2 linked regions of the Drosophila melanogaster genome follow. The protein of the gene in region 2 interacts with the protein of the main gene of each other region in a biochemical or structural test. Each region holds a gene or a part of one and is shown on either strand. Other genes may lie near its edges. The genes, in order: Mad and Pdp.

Region 1 (11,843 bases), on a different chromosome or scaffold from region 2:
CGCACTTACCCTTCACCGGGAAATCGTCGGGATGCAGTTCGATGTAGTGCCGGAGGACGGCGTCCCTTTTGGCCAGGTACTCGTTCCTCTTCTGATCGAAATAAGCTCCTGCGCCGACGCCGATAGCTCCGAAGGCGATGTGCTTCTGGATGCCTGGAATACGTTGCGATTTAGTTAGTTATAGGCGACAAAAACAATCGTTACGTCACATGGAAGCGGGGCGAAAACTCACCGGAAAACACGGGCTTACGGAAGCCCCAGTTGATGAAAATGGCCGCGCCCACGCCGGCCACACCGCAGGCAATCGGATTCCATATCGGCGAGAGGAAAGAAGGCTCGTGGGTGCCCTTGTTCGTCAAAAGTTCCAGCGGATCGTTCACGGCACTCATGTTGATAGGATGAAAAACAATAGCGGTGGGCAACTAACGCAGTTAGCGATGTCACTGGCAGAACTCTCAGCTATCGATAGCGTGCGAACTGAACTAGTTCCGTAACGATTATTTAAAACGTAAGTTGTATATAATTTAAATAATATAAACAAACACGTATTGCACATTGCCAACTTTATTTGGTTCCTTTTATATTGGAAACTACAAATTATTCACTCGCGCACTAAAATCAGAATAAATATTCAACTAGCCACTAACTAACTAACCGAAATAACAAACCAAAAATAAACGAATTCAAAACGTTGATGAAAAATGTTGTCCACATGATGAAATATCTCAAGTTCAAGCCAGGGTTTTATGTTTTTCCTTTTATTTGAATTCATTTTTTAATATTACATTAGTACGTTTAACATTAAGAGGCATGCAAGGCGTATTTAAGGCAATTTATAGCATTCAAAAACTAGTAAACTTCAAGGCAACTATTTCTGTTTCTTGTTCGTTTGGTAATCAGTATCGCTGCTTGGATATTAAGACATTATTAAATTTTTCTTTGCTCCACACAATTCGCACAACATCAAAGGCCGACGTGGAATATCGAACAGGCACAAATATTACAATATTATTATTAATTTTTTTTAGTAAGGCCCAAGTTTTGCCCAAGCCTCTAATATACAGCTATTTTTACATTATATCTTTTTATATCTTATTTAAATCCGAGCGTAAAAAGTAAAAAAAAAGAACTCATAAGTCAAAAACAGGTTTTATTTAAGAAGTAAGCATTTCGTTTGTTTTTTTTTTTATTATCGTCTACTTATTTTTCTGCGCACAAAAGTGTAATTCAAAACAAAATCAGAGAAAATCATAAGCTTACGATAACTAGAGTAAAGTTATACATGTATATTTATATAAAAAGGCAATTTTCTCGTGGTCTAAACAATATTAGTTTTACTTAAGATAACAAAAGATCATTGTCTGGGAAAACGTATTGATTCAGTAGCATTTTTCCATTCTTAAATTTCGCTGGTATCTTTTCTTGTTTGATGTTTTCGATTTGTTTGCAACTTAAAATTAGTTAAACCATATATATATTTAAATCAACTATATTGAACATTGAATTCGTTGATCCAAGGCGAACCGCAAATGAGAAAAATAAAACATAAGCTAGGGCTTCTTCAAAATCATTTTAAGAAATGTATTGCAATAAGTGTTTTCATATCCCTACGTAAGTTACTTGTTCCTTATGTAATTAAAGTTGGTAGGATTAATTCAATGTGTTTTTATATTTAAAGCAGTTTTGCAATGACACATAATTAGCACTTGAAATAGACTTGAACAAGAACTGTTTTGCCAATGGGCATAGATCATTAATATTATAGCATGTAGATCATTGTAAATAGTTATACCATTTTGTAATTGGTTTCTTAGCTCGCTGTCCATTTTCATTACTCTGTTTTAGCGTTAGGAATGACATTCGCATAGAAAATCATACGATAAACTATAAAATATGGGCAAAGGGCGGGTATTGGAGTAGCTGCCGTACATCATCTATATAAATCTGCGACTGAGTGGCATGGACCTCCATCCTCAGGCCTACAGACCTATGCTCTCTCCATTGTCCTGTGTTCTCTACGTCTTTTCACACTTAGCTTTCACTCACACGCACTCATCATTTAGCTACCGGTTTTGTGTTCCTTCTCTTCCGTCTCCATTGAGGACTCGAGCCTCATCTTAAGCTTAGGATACCGAACTAATTGCATTATGCGGAGAGCCCATTTGGGTGAGCACCTTGTCCAGCCACTGGAGCGGCCCGTGCAGATGGATTTCAATCCAACAGGGCGTCGAGGTCACATCCTGGCGATGATACTCCGCACCCCAGCCCTTCACGAACGACATCCGGATCGTGCACATCTTTGTCAGCTCGTAGACGGCCTCGAATCCATTGTTCACCGACTGCGACAGCAGCTGAGCAAATTCCTGATTGTTGAAGATCTTCAGCGAGCAGCCCGGCGGTATTTTGCACACGGTGCTCGGATGGAATCCGTGGTGGTAGTTGCAGTTGCGCGACTGCACGAAAATGGCGGAGTCGGATAGGCATTCGGCGTAGACCTCGCCGGTCACATAGTATAAATGAACACCCTTGCCTGGGGAAGAAGAAACATTTTGAGTTAAAAAGACAGGTAGTTGGATTCTTGAAGTCCATAGCTTTCTACTCTACTCAATGCCTATTTTTATAACTGATAAACACAAGTCGCTTTCTAATTTAAGATTACCAATGTGTAATCTTAGTTATTAACCACTTTAAGATAGTTGCTGATGGGAAATCTCTGTGAGTAAGTTAATTTAAGTGCTAAAATCGACTCACCTATATGACGGCGTGTGTTCTCGATGGTGCTATTCCTGTTCACGTTGCTCAGCTGGCCGAGACAGCAGCGGTCCGAGTTGTTGGAAGGATTCGTGAAACCGTCAACGATCACGGAGTTGTTGTTGCAGTGGAACACCTCGCCCACGCGGCAATTTAGCTCGTAGTAGGCTATCGACGCCCAGAAGGCGGGCTCCGAATAGCTAACCTGGGCAACATCGCCCATCTGAGCATCCAGCAGCTGGCCACCGTCGTTCGGATTGTTGGAGTTGCCATCCTCCGAGGGACTGTAGGCGGGTGGCGGTGTTCCCGCCAAGCTGTCGTACGGCGAATTGGGATTGGAGTTGACGGAACTCGGACTGCCCACCGATGTGTTGCTGGTGCTCAAGCTGTGCGAGTTGAATCCACTGTTCGAGTAGCTCACATTGTGCGGCATACTGGGCTCGGCCACATGGTTGAACTGCAGCATCGAGTGACCGGGCGCGAATTCCGAGTGGCGAGGAACGAGTACTGGCGGGAGCACCGGACTCTCCACGCGCTTATAGTGATACGGATTGATGCACACCTCCTTCTGCTTGGCGCTGAACGGATACTGGCACAGCTCGAGTGGCTTCAGTTCGTGGTGCGACTGCAGATCTGGCCAGCGCCACACGCGGCAGTAGATCACATGCGGCAGACCCTTGCGATGGGAGACCTGATATTCGGAAATAGGAGTTAATAATCATCTGTTACTTAGCTGGCCATGTGGCTTGTGACCCACCTGTAATCGTCCGTCCAGCGAGCGTGGAATGGTGACACACTTCGAGGGCTGACCGGGACAGGAGAGCGCACGCTCCAGCTCCTCGATGGCGCCCTTGCGCTTCTTCAACTTCTTCACCAGACTGTCGACGGCCTTCTCCGCCCACTTCTCCTCTTCGTCACCCTGTTTCCAGCCCAGCAGCTTCTTCACCGCCGGCGATGTGAAGGAGAATAGCGAGCCCAGTGTGGACATCGCGCTGCTTGTGTTCGATTCCACATCGTCGGTGTCCATTCTGTTGCTGCTGCCGCTGATTGCTGTCGTCAAATTGAGGTTGTTGCTGCTGCCACTGCTGCAGATGTGGTTATTGTTATTGTTGATGTGGTGGATGTTGTTGTTGTTGCTGCTGCCGCTGCTGATGGTGGTGGTGGTGGTGGTGCCGCCGTTGATTTGGGGTGGAGTCACCCGATAACCGGTATAACTATCAGCGGGCGGATAGTCTGTGAAAAGAGCAAGTAAAAAGCAAATATAAATAATAAATACAAATAGAATTGCAGGCATTCATCATCGAGCTTAGATTGTCTCAGCAACGCCCACAACACAACGCATGCAAAATTCGAATGCACTGAGAGAAATGTTATAGAAAACTTTGCATCTAATTCAAGCAAATGTTTATACGTAACAAAAGGGGAAGTCAGCAACTTATGTGACCCTTTTTCTTCGAGTGTCTTTACCCGCTTGGCCAAGTGCCCAGCAGAAATTGGAGGAGGAGTGAGTATCCATGGGGCCTGGCAGTGCATCGTGTTTCTGGCTAGTGAATGAAGTCGTTGGGAGGTTCCTGTCATGAACGGACTCCTCCCACTTTCAATGTTGGCGGCCAATTGCATGCAAATTGCCTGCAACATTTTCTCATTGAGAATAATGGCCATTATTGCTTCACTTAACCAACTAGCTGATTAATCGAATCTCGATTTCGTTGGAAACTTATTTTTATCTATTAAATATGGTTATTGTTCGTATTCAATCGCAGCTGACGTCAATTGTGAAACGATTCTATTGTAAGGGGGGTATTTTTGAGGTCTGACAGTTCTTTGAATTCCAAAAAACCACAAAGGTTGCGAACGAAAAGAGTTCGCACTTTTCAACGTTATAAATAGTATTAGTTTTCGAACACAACAATTCTGCAAAAATATATGAATAATAGGTAAATTTATGAAGCACAGATAATAGTTTCATGTGCTGGTTTTCGGGCTGCCTTATCGATTCTTAGAAAATTGGCATTAAGAAATTGGTTTATCAACAGAAAAAACTAAACTATAGCAATAAAAACCCACTGTCTTCATTCTATTTAGTTAGGCTCCACTGTACTGCAGTAATATTCGAGTCGAGTGGCGAGAACTGCATCTCATAATGAGCGCAAATGATAACCAAATGGTGTTCGACTTGTCAGCGCCACAATTGTGGGTATTCCCCCCTGTTTTCTACGCCCCCCCCCCTCCATACTTTTCCCCACCAAAGACAACAATTCCATTTGAATTATGACATTTCAATGTTAACAGCATTTCTGAGGAACTTCTCTCCGTTGGCCAAGTGGCTGCGCTCCAGTTGGCTGTCTTAGCCTCAATCTCGTTGCTTTACTCAAGGTGTCAAAAAATGTTTGATTAAATTTAAAAGTGACAAAACCTAATTGAATGAAAATTTGTAGTAGCAATTAATTTGTGCAAGCTGGAGCAAAAATCGGCGAGCCACACAAGGCGAACTTGCTAGGCGAACCACCCATTTTTGTGGCAAGCAAACGGGCTGGTAAATCCAATTTCAAAAGCAATTAAATGCCGGCGATAAATCAACAAGTGCAGCACTTGGACAACAAGAAAACACCTCTCGATTGGGCTCCCGACAGACCAAATGGCGCATATTTCTGGCCAAATTAGCCGTTGCGTGAATTAATTTCGATTTTCTCGCTCAACTCGGGCCTAAAAATTTTGGGGCGTTGCCGTTTTCTTTTTTTTTTCGCAGCATTGACAATTTTATGTTGTCGCCCATGGAAGGGGGCGTGGTCAACGAGGACCAGTGGTTGGGGGCAGTCACTTTTCTAATTGCCCAAAGTCAACCAGAGCCTCCGGCGGTAGATATATTGCTCTAAGAATGCTCTAACTTTATCACTAGCCTACAAGAATATATTGAAATTAATGATAAGTCACACAACCATTTTGATTACCAAAACTAGCTTAAAAACCTCTTCCAAAAGATTAGGATTACGAACAAACAATCGGTACCTTATCGAAAATGGTACACCTTTGCTTATAACTAATCCCAAAATTAAACATACAGTGGAGTACCAGTTCACATGGTCTCTCCTTCTCAGTAACTCAGGATACAAACGGAGTGACACTTGGCGGACAGACTTATCGAGGGGGTTAGTGGAGATAGAGAACTCTACCCTACGTATTTACCCAGCTGACTAGTGTCGTGTGTTTTTAGGTGGCAATGGTGCTCTAGTGGAATTCGATTGATTTGAGTGGGGCAGGCATACAAATTTCGATAATGCCCCCGTTTTGTTTGTGCAAAGCTCGATTGCAGGTGAGGTTTTCGACATAATCAGTCGGTTTTCAAAAGGGGAAACTACCCCATTAATTCGCAGGAATTACATAAAAACTTTATTTACACGATCATAACAACATATTCAACATATTTATGATGTTTATTCGGAGATTTGATGGTTTTCCAAACAACAAAGTGGCTTTCTTTAGGCACTTAAACGATTTTCTTGTTTTGTCTCTCAATGCATCTCGAGTTGAACGATACTAAATATAAATATAATAAGTCCTTTATGATCCATTATCATATGGGACATTCCCCATATCAATTAAAGATCAATAATCGTAATTCGCAATTACATATTACCCGAGCTGAGATCACGTACCCAACGTACCCGCCCAAAGTGGCCCAGTCTTCTTTCTGCTTTCAAGAAAACCACACTCGAAGGAAAGTTCTTCATTGCTTTCAAAGCAAATTCAATTGATGGTTCTTGGTTTAAAGTGAATCTACTTTTAGTCTTATATTTAGAGTAACTAAATTGAAGAATTGCATTTCAAATCGGCTGTGTACATTCTTCTGGTTAGTGATTCCATTGTGAGTTTCTTTTCAGTGCATCGCTAGTCAGGGATCATAACTCAACTGGAGAAACGGAGGAGCGAGGATATCGAGGCACTTTTATGGCAGGCACGCATTCGCGCATGCGTATCATACCATTCCAATCGATAATCAATCATAAATGCGGCAGTGACAATAAGGCGTAAATCATGGGAGCCAGGTAGAAGTAGAAATCAAGGTGGATGGATGGCAAGTACACAAGTACAGAAGTACAGAAGCACTTCCGCTGCCATTGAAAGCGGGCAAAAAGCGTGGTAAAGGGTACTACGACTAGTGCCACAAAAATAACAACAAAACAACAAGAAAAAAACGAACAGACAGAGAAAATAGGGACTTGGACCCATGTTTAAAAATAAACAAACAATGCACACACAAAAACGCAGCGCGATAAAGACCAAAACCAAACAGGCCAAAGTTTCGATTTGATGCGAGGAGGAAAACTCAAAAATCGAGCAACTCGAGGCAAACGAGAACTATGTACGAACTAAGAACCTACACATGATGATGTTGAGATTGCAGATATTATTTTATTTATTTTTATTGCACGCACAAACACACACACACACACGGACAAGAATTCAGCATCAAAATGTTATTTTATTCGTATGCAAATCGCAAACGCGACCCTCCACGACGATCGGGCATCCAATCCAGTCGCCTCAGCAGTTACATTTCCGCTGCGAGTCTTCAATTCAATCGTTATCACCGTAATAACTTCATTTATTTAAGCCTTTTGCCGTATTATTTTTTATTTTCGCCGTAAATTACGCAAAGTGGAAATGGCAGCGAGCGCGAATCAGAAGTCAACTGCACGACACGACCGATCGACAACGAATGCCGAACGGGTTGCCCAGCAAACTGAGTGCGCCGAGTGTTGATTGACTGACTGACTGACTGACTGACTGACGAACTGACTGACTGAGTGAGTGACGAACTGAACGCAGCCCAAACTGCATTCGTATTGTGTATCGGTGTGAGTTCGCCAGGGATGCGAAGCAGCAGGTCCATCCTAAAGTATCTAAAGGTAACACAAACTACTTTCTACAGTTATTAATAAGTTTAAGACTGGAAAATTGAGTTATTATATTCCATTTTCTTAATATTTATCTATTTAGTAATGTACTTATTGTAGCCCTAAGAGAGTATAAATCTAGTGTATGTATCCCTATTGAATCCCTTCTTTATCACCAGCTAGTCCGCAGCCCTGATTTCTGAAGACCTCTGAGTGACGTATTCGTATTCGTATTCCTGTGCTCGTAATTGGTTTCAGTGTGCGTTTGGGGCAGCCAAGTGCACACCACTACACCCATACAGGCAACGAAAGTTTTGTTTTAAACAAATCAAATGCCCTATCTGCAGTTGGGGGCGCCAGCACGTGAGCGCGAACGTGTTTGTGTGCAGCAGATCACACGGCGAGAAAAATATGCAACATTTGTATTTCAAATAACAATGTTACTTGAAGAACTAAGATTTAACATTTGAGTACTCTTTTACTTAACTCTTTTTCGAATTAAATAGACATTGCTGTTTTTAGATGCACACTAATTTGTTTGCAGTGCATGGCCTTTGGTGGTGTTGGAGGTGGCGTCAACCCACAGCCACAATCAAACTGTAAACACCCCACCGCAACCACAACAAAAATGAAGGGAACGTAGTTTCAGGGGAGGAGTTTAAGAGAAGGCAGCGTCAACGAATTTTTTCGTGCGTGGGACCGGCGAGTAATTGAACCTAAAATTCGATGAAGCCCTCCTTCGGCAGAGTGTTTTCGGTACGAAAATAAGCGGAAACAAATCGAAATTCTATTCGCAAATGCACTGCCAATTTTTTTTAATGGGTAAAGCAACGAAACTAAAGTTTTTTCGTTACGAAATCTTTTGAATTGAAGTCAAGCGAACCTATTTTCTTGGCCCGGACTGTACGTGTGCTTAGAATGCGAGCATGTTTATGTGCGATCGCTCCTCCCTCCCTTCGCTTTTATTGCGTGTTTAACACTACTAAACGCGAACTTATTGCAAACATGGGTAGCATTATACAGTCGCAGTAAAATCGAAATAGTAATGAAGCGCACTCTCCTCGAAAGCAGAAGTGAAAACGACGAAAAATAACAAAATAATTATGTAGTCCCTTTGGAACAATAAAAATTTATGCACGCAAATTGCACAAAAGCGGAAAACTCAAAACACACACGTGCCGAAGTGCAAACGTCAAGGGGCAAAAATGCGCAGGCACGGCAGAAAATCCTTTTTTAAGTAAATTAACTCAATTCTAATTGCAAATAATTGCCGCGATAATTGCAGGGGGCCACGCAGAGGCTTTGTGTCATGTGAGTAATTGAGCTGTCAACACGGGGACACCACCGCTTTTCCGCAAAAATGAAAAAAATTGCCAGTCGGTGGTGGGTGGTCTACACTACTTTCAAATAAATAGCTTTCAGTTCCATCTTGATTTGAAATAATTTCAATGTTTATGAACATTGATGCACATTTATGAGTAGTATGCAAGTTGAGTAGTAACGAAGCGCGCCAAACATAGTTGGAAGAAGGATATACTACTGTGAATAATAAACAGCATTTCTCTTCAATTTCAAAAAAATGATGACACCTCTAGTCTTCTGCTCCATCCTAACATCAAATAGAATGGCAGTTCTTCTAATAGAAGTCGACAAATTTCGATGCCAATTAAAGCTCGCTAAACATGTGACAAAAGTCAACTGCCAGTAGCTGAAGTCTTCAGCTTTGCTGTGATGTTTGTTCCTATGCCCCAGTGTTTGTTGCACTGCTCCTCTGTTGCATTGTTGCATCGTTGTGCTGTTGTGCAGTTGTTGTCGTCTCACCGTCACTGCCGACGCCTAAACATGCAACAATTGTTGCGTGTTCAACTGCCAATCAATGCCAATGACTGCCGGACCACAGCAGCAGTGGCAGGAATCAGGAGCAACACTTGCGTCCAAAATGATGGGTATTATTTAGTCGAAATATTGGTGTAAAACAAACTAACTTGCTCATTTTATACTGCGGGCCTCAACATAAATGAAATTGCGACAGAAACTAATTGCACATATGTGAAATGCACTAGCAACTTTTATTGCAAACCTCTCGTCACTATTCTGCTGAACTCGTCTGTGGTGGGGAAAAGGTCCTAAAGTGCAACGTGCAGCAGAGCAACTGCAGCAGCAGCAAGTTCGTCATCGTCATCGGCATCCACGATTCGTTCGGTTCGCTTAAATAGCCATAAATATGTGGAGTATGCGCCACAGTTTCCGAGATGGCTCCACCCGCCCCTCGGCCCTCTGTCCATCTTCTCCTCCTACCTTCCTACCCGCCAAACCAACGCCAAGTCTTAACCCTTCCGCCTGTCCTGCGGGTTAAACGTGCTGCTTCAGTGTGGCGCCTAATGCGTGCGCCAAAACAAAACGTAAAAGAATTCTTAGAAAAGCGTCGCCGCGCGACCAAGCGGCTTCTGAGCAAAAAAAAAAAAACAGGCAGTTTGGGGCGGAGTAGTCCACTATCGAGTGGATTAAATGGCACAAACATGGCTAATTACATGTATTTAACACGCACGGGGCAGTCTGTACTTCAATGTTGCCAATGCGACACAAACAATGACAAGCACCACAATTATGGTCAAAGCTGGACGGCGATCCACTAGAGACGAGCGCCAAGAAATCCGAAGCTGGTGGGGATTCAGCAGCAGGAAGGTGAACAACAAATGGATGATCAGCAAGTTGATACTTAATACTGATCTCTAAACTCTTCACTTCATATACATTTAAATTGAAGTGAAATCCCTAAGTTAGAGTATCCAACTAGTTGCAAGACAACTTTGCTGCCACTTAGCCAGCCTTTGATGGATATCTACACCATTAAAATAGGAGCGGCTGGGAATGGTGGTTCTGCCCATCGCCAGCCAGTCAACTCCGCGTTGTCAATGCACAAATTTATTAGATTTTAAATGCAATAATTATTAGCATTATATGGGCAATGAAGCGCCGATCGAGCACTGCGCCGGAATATCGAATCAGTTTTAGCCAGTTCACGGTGTGTGGCTAAGACGACGGTCATTTGGTATGCAAGCTGGCCAACAGCGATCGCCAGTAGCTGCCAAACTGTAAACTCTAGTTACGGGCTAATTTCATTCAAGACGAGCTCACTTTGCGTGGGTGTTGGCTCCACCGTCTGTTGCATGACTTCGCCGCCTTGCCAGCCCCTTTAGGCCCCGTTCCAACCACCCACCACCCAAAGCATAACTATTCCCATGACAGTTCGGCGACAGAGATTTATGCGCTGCAATTTCCCACTTTATTGCTGTTTAAAGTTGCGTTTTCATAAGTTTTGGCGCAGTTTGTCTCTTTTAGCTTCAATTTCGCGCCCTCAATGTGGCACTTTTACGGGCTACGAGCGAGTTAGGCGGGGAATATATATATTTTTAGGGTTTATTACAATGTTATTTATTAATATTAGCATTGCTGGTTTATGGAAGAACTCCATAAAATAAGCTATGTAATTGGAAATAATTTTGGATTTACATTTGTACTAAGTGTTCGAAAGTGATTCCATAAATGGTAACACTTGTTATAAATTATATTATTTATTTAACAGAAAAGAGTATACAATACTTCGGATCTGCGCTCAAGGCAGCCACTCTTGATCTTTGATTTAAAAGCCAATGCTGTGAGTTTTTGAAGCCAAAACCAAAGCCAGCAAGCCGTTGATAAGAGATCTGCTGTGGAGTACTTCTTAATAAAGTTGTTGCCTGTATTATGACAATCAAAGAGAAAATCCTATTGCGACGGGGTCTAAAAATAAGTTCAAATTCGTGTTGACAATTTTTAGGTTGCTTTTTCTGTCGTTGGGCTTTGCCGTTTTATTACCATTGCGCGAACGGATTATCGCGACAAGAAGATCAAAAGCAGGAGGACCAAATAGGCGGATGGAGGGGCAAACACACACATTTATGTGGATATCAAAAAATAACAAGAGGGGCACACTCCGCCCACAGACTCTGGTTGAGCAAAATGGGAATACAAAACCGAAAAGCGTAAATCACGCTTTCGATAGATCTAAAATTAGTTTCCGGCGATAAGCCAAAGCCAGATTATTGCAGTAAGTTTGGTGAATATAATGCTAAAAATAACTATCAAAACCGAATGTAAAAAAATTAAATAATATTGTATATTATATGCTTATATGCTGAGCTTAACTAAGTT
Region 2 (9,028 bases):
TGCTAGCGAGGAGACAAAAAAATAAGCGCAGGCTTGCACATGTGCGGTGTTATCGATAGTGCACGTATCAGCACGGCTTGTAATAGCCAACTTTGTATGTTTAACATGTAGTTATTAATATTATTTTGCCAACAAATAGTTGTATTATTATTATTGGTAGAATGGTAAATGTTACAAAAATTAATAAAGATAATAAAAAAAAATTATATGGGCCACAAATACAATATAAGTCTAATTTCTAATAGTGTTGGTAAAAAAACTGAACTCAAAAAATAAAAACCTTTAATTAGTTTGCCTTAGAACATCATTCCCATACGACTTAATTGTATAAGAACGTAACTTTTAATTGAGGATTATAAATACAGGGAAACGGACTTTTGCTTTTCAGTGACGGCGAAAGAGAACGCCAATTCCGCGATGTGTCATCCCTAGCGCGAAATAAGCAACAGCAAAAACAGCCAAAAGCAAAGCAAGAGCATCAAGTGCAGTCAAATTCGCACAATTGGAGCTGAACGCCAAGGACAAGGCGTCTCGATTCTTGCCGAGATTCGTGCCCCGTAGCGACTACAAAGGAGATCCTGCTGCACACAGTCGCTATCCTTTGCATCGAGTGTGCGAGAGTGTGTGCGTGCGTGTTCCTACACCTACATAAGCTGGTGTTTGGCTCCGTTCAAGTGCGCTTGTGTATGTGTTTGTGCGTGCATTTCGACGAGAACGAAAGCCTCTCTTTTCGTGGGTAAACAAAAACAAAACACCTGAATGTGAGGAGCAGCATTGGTATCGGGATAAGGATCATCAGGATTTGGGAGAGCACAACAGTGGAAACCCACAGAAGCTGAAGCAACATGTCCTCGTCGACGCAAGAGCGCAAGCGCTACCACAAGGACAACGCGCCCACGGACGACATCCTTACGCTGATCAACCTGGTGCGCCAGAATCCGGTTCTCTACAACTACAAACTGCAGCCGAACCAGCGACGCCGCTCCGATGTCCTCAACGGATGGCAGGAGGTGGCCCAGCAGATAGGAAGTGAGTGCTAGTCATGGCCTGCTTCATGTCCGACTATTAGCCTTCTTCCAGAATTAATATAAGCTTCCGCTAAAGTTGGTTTTAAATACCACATGCATATTGTATTGATAGGCTAGTGTTCTGGCGCCGGCTACTATAACACAACTCATAATTTCATCGTTACTTAGAAACGTTTTCATAAATGTGATGCCTTTGAAGAGGTTCTAGCTTGTATCAATTATCTGTAAAAGGAATACGATTCCTTTGAAACCCCGCTCATATTTATACTACCTCTTTCTTTCTTCCAGACAAGTACACGGTGCAGGAGGTGCGTCGTAAGTGGAAGAACCTGCGGGACACTTTCCACCAGTACCGTCTGCGCACGCCCAAGTACATCGAAGGGCGGCTATCCAAGTGGCGCTACGCCAAGGAGCTGGACTTCCTGTCGAAGGTGTACCAGCCGAAACTGAAATCGCACCGGAACACACAGATCACCTATGAGACGAGTGGGGTTGCCGGCGCCGGTGGAGGCATTGGAGGCGCGAATAGTACCACATTGCCCATTGGAGCTATGCTGCATTTGAAACAGCATGTGGACGATGACGACGACGAGGTGATGGACGATGACGGGCAATCGGATCACGATACCGCCACGCTCTCCTCACATCACGGCACCTCGCAGATCACCCTGGTCAGCGATGAGGCGGAAACCTTCATCCTGACCGCCTACGAGGAGGGCGTCTCGGATGACACTGTATCGCAGCACCACCATCACCATCATCATGGCCATCACCAGCAGGAGCATCATCACCAGCCGCACCACCACCACCACCACCATCATCATCAGTCGCAGCACGACGGCAGCATCTCCAGCATTGAGCTCTCCCAGATTGCCCACGATGACGATGTGGTCGATGATGTCGATGACGAAGATGATGTGGTCGACCACGACGGTCAGCTGGATATTGTGAAGCACGAACTGGACGAGGACGGGGCAACCGGCGCCGAGGTGGACTACGAAGAGGTGTGCCTGTACGAGGAGGCCAGCGGTGCCCATGTGGATTGCGAAATTGGTGTGGGTGACGCCGTGGACGGCGGTAGCGATGTTACCCACGGCAAGGGTTTCCATTACATCGATACACACGAATTTTGCATATCGGACATTGAGCCACAGACAGTTCGCTCCAGCCAGCATCAGTTCTCGGCCAGCGGTGGATCGGGCAATGGCTCAAATAGTGTCCTAACCGGTGGGACTGTGGTAACCGATGGCAAGGTAAAGAATCTCACGCTGGTAACAACCACGTCTCCTGCGGCTGGGGGCGGTGGATCAACCAATCGTCATGATTCCTCAGTGTCAACGCAGCAAATTTCCCTGGTGGATGTAACAGAGGCGACCAGTACCAGTGTGACGATTTCAAGCACGCCGGCCATTTCTCTGAATGCGACTACCGTGACTACCACGCCAGCAGCGGCGCTGTGCAATACCACATCCTTCACATCCACGCCGACGGCCACGATCATTCAGATGCCCCCCTTGAACTGCGGATCTGGCCAGCCATTGGCCGTTAGTGCGGCGGCCAGCAGTTCTAACAATCTCATCAAGGAGGATGAGCAGCATCAGCAGCAACAAGTGGCCCAGGCACTGGCCAAGCGTGATGAGCTCGATCTGTTCTTTGACTTTCTCAAGAAGAAGATGCAGTGCTTCAGCAAGACACAGATTACGCACATTCAGATGGAGTTCCTCAACTGTGTCAGCCGGCAGGAAGCGGCCGAACAGGATGGCAAGGATTAGGGACACCTGTTTTTAGTTATGTTCCCCAAAAAACAACCAATACGATCCCTGAGTAGTTGCCTAGTTTTTTCCATGTATAGGATTAGGATGCGTACCGTTTACCAGTTTGCAAGTTCGTGGATTCCGCGTTCTTCAATTAGCTTTATCCTCCACCCACGAAACCCCGGATCCCTGTATCCTTCACCCCTCTACACCATCCATTCGAGTAAAAATATATATACATATATATTAGCCAGCGTTACAATCAATTGTAATTGGAAATAAAAGAAAATAAATCGATTCTCGAAAACTACACAATTCGAAATTCTTAAAGTTGAATAGCTTGTTTGCAACAGATGATCTATACCTAAGTCTTAGGATTATCCTGGTTTCCCCCCCGTTTTATAGACCGAACTAAATTGAAAACAAGAAAATTGGCGTAAATTATAGAATAAGAAGTTTTAAATTGAATTAGATTATATACATTACGAATTGCTTGTAAATTTTAAACAGCAAAAATTAATATAAGTACTTGCTTTAAAAGAAAAAATAGTATCTACTTTACAAAATCACGAACTATTTGAGAAATAAATATATGAAGAAACCTTCTTGATTGCTTATAACCCTTGATATATACATATTTGCTGGGATTTTCATGTCATTTTTATTTTATTAACAAATGAGACGACCGATCATCGCTCTTTATGAATAACAAGACAATTTGCATATGTGATTTTTCGCTTTCCGCGTGCGATTTATTTGGCGCAGCAGTCGTCCGAGGTCCGATGGCGGATGAAACAAACTTAAACGCAACACTTAGGCTAGTTCGGCTGAAGGTTAGGCTCGTTAAATATACACATATGCACTCTCGCAGAGATCATGCTACCGGCGCAGTGACCTCCGTTTGATCCACATCGCTGTGCAGCTTGGCAATGTGCTCCGAGTTAAAGTAGATGACAGTGATTGTGATGTCGTCGCGATACAGACGCACCGCGTCCCTGGGCAGCGTCAAATAGTACGAGATCTTCGAGTGCTCAATCCCATAGTCGGTGCCGCCCAAAGCATGCCGGATGAGATGCGTGGCCGCGTTTTGGTCTACGGGTTTGCGAGTGAGGCCAGCCCTGCAATGCAATAAAAGCGTAATTAATAAATAAATAAATAACAAGCATACATTTAAAGGATAACTGACTTTCTTTCGGCCAGCTGCTGAGAGATTTCCTGCAGCGTTGTATCGCCTTCCGGCAGGCGCATCGGTTCGAGGATCTTTTTGGAGTTGATGTGCTCCCCCACCAAGCTGACCACCTCGCTGGGCGGAAGGAAATCCCATAGGCCGTCGCTGGCGATGACTAGAAACTTGTCGTTGGGCCCCAATTCGTGCTGCTGGACATCGGGGCGGGCGGTTAGGTACGGTGGCGTATAGTAATTCGGCGCCATTGCCTGCACGCCGAACATCGGCAGCACCTTCTGCTGCATTATTTCCTGGGACCACTTGTAGCGAAAGTCCCCAAAGGCACGCAACGGCGCCAGCTGGCTAAGCAGCCTGCCGTTTCGGATCACCGTCTCATGCTCCTCCTTGGGATGCTCGGCCAGAATGCGACGCACCTCGGACATATTGTCAGCATTGTGTTCGATGTTAAGCTTCTTTGAGTGCCACTGCTGCGTCTGGGGATCAAGAACGCCCAACACTGCGCCACAATCACCCGTGCTGGCCACGTGCATCTGCAGTCCCTCAATGTGAACCAAACAGGCAACGGCTCCTGGAAAATAAACACATTTATAGTTTAGAAATGAAGCCCCTATGAAGAGGAAAGTATGAAACGGGATGGCAACTTATATACATAAATAAATGGATACATCACCCACCAGAAAGGGCCACGTTCATGGTGCGTACATCGTTGCTGGTCAGAGCCTCCTGCGAGATCTCTTCATCCAGCTGGAGGAAGGCGTTCACCAGTTCACTGGATACATCCCGTTGCGGTGTCTCTAACAATTGATTGACATACTTGAGGAAACTAGCCTCGTACATGGGCTTGATCATGCTAACAAAGTCCACGTTGTCATTGTGGCACTTGAGGAACGACTGGCTGTCGGCACCCTGCTTCATCTGCTCCCGGAGCACCTGGCGCGGCAGCGTGGCCGCCGAAACATAGCGAAGCAGTCGCTTGGACACCACTTGGCCACATGCTGCTCCCGCATGCCCGTCGAAAATGCCACAAATGAAGCCGTTGCGGTGCAGGAAGCTGGCCTCCGTGCGGGAATCCTCGCAGGGCCAGTTTGATCCCAGCTGATTTGTTTCATAGCTGCGGATGACTCCATCCACGGGAAAGTTGTAAACGAACTCGTTCTCCCTCAGAACAAGGTTAACCTGTGAAAATAGTTTACATTAATACAGATTCTTACTCTTTATGTGGGAATTACAAAGGTTCCCATGGTAATAGTTATTAATCAGTTAATTCTTATTCGGTTCCTAAAAATTTTGTTCTTAAGCCGCTTGGTATGGACTCTTGTCCAGTGCAAACGATCAAATGAAATTAACTGCTCAGTAAAGGCATTATAAATGGTTGCTGTAGTTGAAATATGAATATGGAAAATCGAATACAGTCGGGTCGACGTCGTTCACTTTGTTTATAGGAAAACACTCGGGACTTTCTTGAAAGCCCTTGAAAGTAGTTATTGGATCTTCAGAAAATTATGCAGGCTTTATAGTTAAATTTTTAAACGGCTTAGGGATGTAATGCATAGATTTGTGGTTTCTAAAAGTAGCTTCAATAGGAAAAATCCAAAATAATTAATAAGTAAAGAAGTACTTTCGATCGAAGATCTTACAAACTGATTACATTTTACGAACCCTGCCCAGCTTGCTAATGACACTTGCCAGGAACCCCAAATCTTACATCGTATGGACTCAATTGAGGCAGTTGCGGCAGCAGACGCAGTGCATTCAAACTGAACTCCCGCACATTGGATCGCACGTAGCTGGCGGCGTCGTTCAGCACGAACTTGAACATCTATATGGAGATTTTGTATATGCTCTCGCCCCGCTGTGGCTATAATTAACGGTAATGATATTGGTTCCGTAACCAAATCGGGGGAGGAGTAGGCAAAGAAGATGGAGGAGAACGTGGTGGATTCCGTATCCCGGAGCCTCCGGCTGATTCACCGACTCCGGTTGCCGGTTGCTGACAAAGGGATCTTATTTTCCGCTGTTGCTTTTGATTGGCCGGCGGCTTGTTTGTACATTTGTGTGCTGTGAAATACGAAGCGGACGGTGTTCACGGAAAACAAACGTAAAAAGAAAATACAGTGCGTACTAGCGATGGGTTTTTCTCTGCACGAGACAGCCTAGAACGAAAATGAACACGCACGTCTTAATTTATGTGTCAAAGCACTGTACAAGGCCAAATCTTTTTGTGTAATTATTGTAAATTTATTAGCTTAATATGAAAGATTATTTTATTTTTTTTGTCATATTTTCTCAGAACAATTTAAACTAACTACATTTGTATGCATTCATCGTGTCACGCGAAATCGCGTTCTTTGACCATCTCTATTGGGCGGCGGTGCCAGACTGGCGGTGTTGCCATTAGCCGGTTACCGTTTTCAAGCCAAGTCTAGCTAGTTTTTGTGTACCGCCGAAAAATACATCTAAGCTTGTTAAAAAATCTGAAAACTGCCAAATTGATGTGAGGACACTATTTTTATTAAATAATTTAGAAGATATAACTGTTTAATAATGGTAATGAAATAATTTCATTGTGGCTACTATCGATTACTTTTGCTGGTCTGGCAACGTTGTCATTATCACACACACGCGCACGCATATGAGAAAAAAACACAAAACAAAACAAAATTCGAAGGAATTTGAATTCTCGAATATTTATAATTTAACAACCACCAGCGACAGCCGGAAATATCTCATTGCAAAGCCAGTAATCGTGTGAAGAACAGAAAGTTTCGATTTGCAATACAACTGCAGGAAATAAGAAGAAAAACGAGCAGCATAAGCAAATCAACGATTTGCGTATCAAACTTTACAAAGGGAAGGCAGATTTTTTGCTGCGGATTCAATTCCAAGAGACAAATCCCTCGAATTCGGCTTCGGAATGGTGGAACCCATTTTCGAGTATCAATTTCGACTGATTTTAATCGGCGACAGCACCGTGGGCAAGAGCTCGCTGCTCAAATTCTTCACAGACGGCAAATTCGCCGAGGTGCGTATGTCCAACGATTTTGGCCACTGTACTTGGACGCTTGGCCCACTGTGCGATCTTCGTGAGATGCAGTTAATGCGTTCATTACATAATTAAGTGATTGCATTGGGCGAGATACAACAAAAAATAGACAAAGGGAGTGGATTTTAAAAAGATGCTGCCTTAGTCACCTTGTCAGTGTGTGTGTGTGCTGGTGTGCATGTTTGTGTGCTCGCCTGATAATGCAGGCAGCAAAAACAACACACAAGTCCAAAATAGGACCAGGGATACTCAAATAACTGCGCGGGAAATTTAAAAACATAGAGATATCATGAATTGTGTGGAATCAAAAGTGTTCTCAAAAGCATTACAGCTCTAAACTGCGTTTCTTTTTACTGCCTCCCAAGAATCCACCTAATCATAAATAACACAATATTTACATTTTGCAGTTATCCGATCCCACAGTTGGCGTCGACTTCTTTGCCCGCCTCATCGAAATGAAGGACGGCACACAGATCAAGCTCCAGCTGTGGGACACTGCTGGCCAAGAGCGCTTCCGTTCGATCACCAAGTCCTACTACCGGAACTCGGTTGGCGTGCTGCTGGTCTACGACATATCGAATCACGCCAGCTTCGAGCACATACCGCTGTGGATGATGGAGGCACAGCGTCACATTGAGCCCCACCGCCCCGTTTTCGCATTGGTCGGCTGCAAACTGGACCTCATCAATGCGGGCGGACACCGGGAGGTGACCACAGAGGAGGCACAAAAATTTGCCAAACAGCACGGTCTGCATTTCGTTGAGACATCGGCCCGGTCTGGTGCCAATGTGGAGGAGGCATTTCGCATGGTCACCCAGGAGGTGTACGCCCGCATTCGATCCGGCGAATATAAGGCGGAGGATGGATGGGACGGCATCAAGTCTGGCTTTTCGCGACCCAATAGTCTGGACTTTAATCTCGTCGTAGCAGAGCCGGAAAAGTCATCATGTTGTTGATTCACCCCGACCTCATTGTCTATTATTTTCAATACTGTTTATGTACATTGATTTGTATCGTATGACCCACCAGTACTCCTTTTCCCCCCTAAACACCAATTTGTTGACTCTTTAATCTTGTTTAATCGTCTAGTTTAGCTAAAAAACCAAAACAGTTACGTATATTTACACAATGCGTTTTTTTTCTAATTACATATAGTTAATCGCTTTTAAGTTAATATTTAGTTCGGTGACTCACGGTAATTAGTGAAGATTGAGTTTGAACCCCTCTTTCCAAATTATGTTTACTTCGCCCCTATAATTGATAGCCAGTCACACGAGGTATACGTAGCCGAGATTCTGCGCTCCTAACTCATACAACACATAACTCCACATACACAAATACGAAAGGAAAAGCTATACATATACTTAAAACTTGAAATATAAACGTTTTTATTAATACGGACGGCATGCATTTGGTTAATCAAGGGTTAGCTTGGGCTTTGTTTTTGTCTAATCTAATCGATTTAGAGTTTTTATGCACATTTCTCCGCTTTGTTAAATCAAAGGAGTCTTGAAGCAATTGTCAAAAAAGCAACCTGTGTGATACACAAACGTTCGTAGCTGCACGGTTTCCAAAATTTACAATTTTACAATAAAAGAATTCGCGGCATATTTGGCGGCTGTTTACATATATGTGCTTTATTTCGTTTATTAAATTTTTCGCAAAGTTTAGTCCACTTGATAGATAACCCAAAACTTAGCTGCGACGATTTCTATTGTTGTTTTACACCTTCGTAGTTGTGCTCAATCAATCTAGATTTTGTTGGAAATTTCCATAAATATTGGTGGCCTCATCGGTCTGGCAACAACAGGTAATTCCTTTAATTCTTTAATCATTACTTGTTTCTTAGTAGTGCAAATTAAATAATGTAATGTAAAGAAGTTGGAAAAATCTTTTTCAAATTTGTTCGCGCATGTGACAGTGTTCCCAGACCAACTTTTTTCGCAACGTTGTGGTCTTTTTTAGGCATACATCATACTGACATCTTTTGGCGGAGCAAAGACTGTCTTACCATCTG

What was found.
Region 1: of the proteins of Pdp (region 2) and Mad, one has a biochemical effect on the other in vitro, tested with the Drosophila melanogaster proteins (one study listed by BioGRID).

Annotation. Positions count from the first base shown.
Region 1 is NT_033779.5:3,145,296-3,157,138, forward strand, and holds Mad (mothers against dpp), read right to left. Parts: upstream 7,459-11,843; 5' UTR 7,138-7,458; coding exon 7,134-7,137; intron 3,985-7,133; coding exon 3,509-3,984; intron 3,443-3,508; coding exon 2,752-3,442; intron 2,531-2,751; coding exon 2,124-2,530; 3' UTR 761-2,123; downstream 1-760. Other genes in the region: ND-B14.5B (NADH dehydrogenase (ubiquinone) B14.5 B subunit), read right to left, coding at 10-153, 233-389.
Region 2 is NC_004354.4:7,728,346-7,737,373, forward strand, and holds Pdp (pyruvate dehydrogenase phosphatase), read right to left. Parts: upstream 6,307-9,028; 5' UTR 5,788-6,306; coding exon 5,674-5,787; intron 5,145-5,673; coding exon 4,643-5,144; intron 4,537-4,642; coding exon 3,969-4,536; intron 3,901-3,968; coding exon 3,657-3,900; 3' UTR 3,434-3,656; downstream 1-3,433. Other genes in the region: CG12155 (uncharacterized protein), read left to right, coding at 846-1,029, 1,317-2,800; Rab39, read left to right, coding at 6,883-6,990, 7,419-7,967.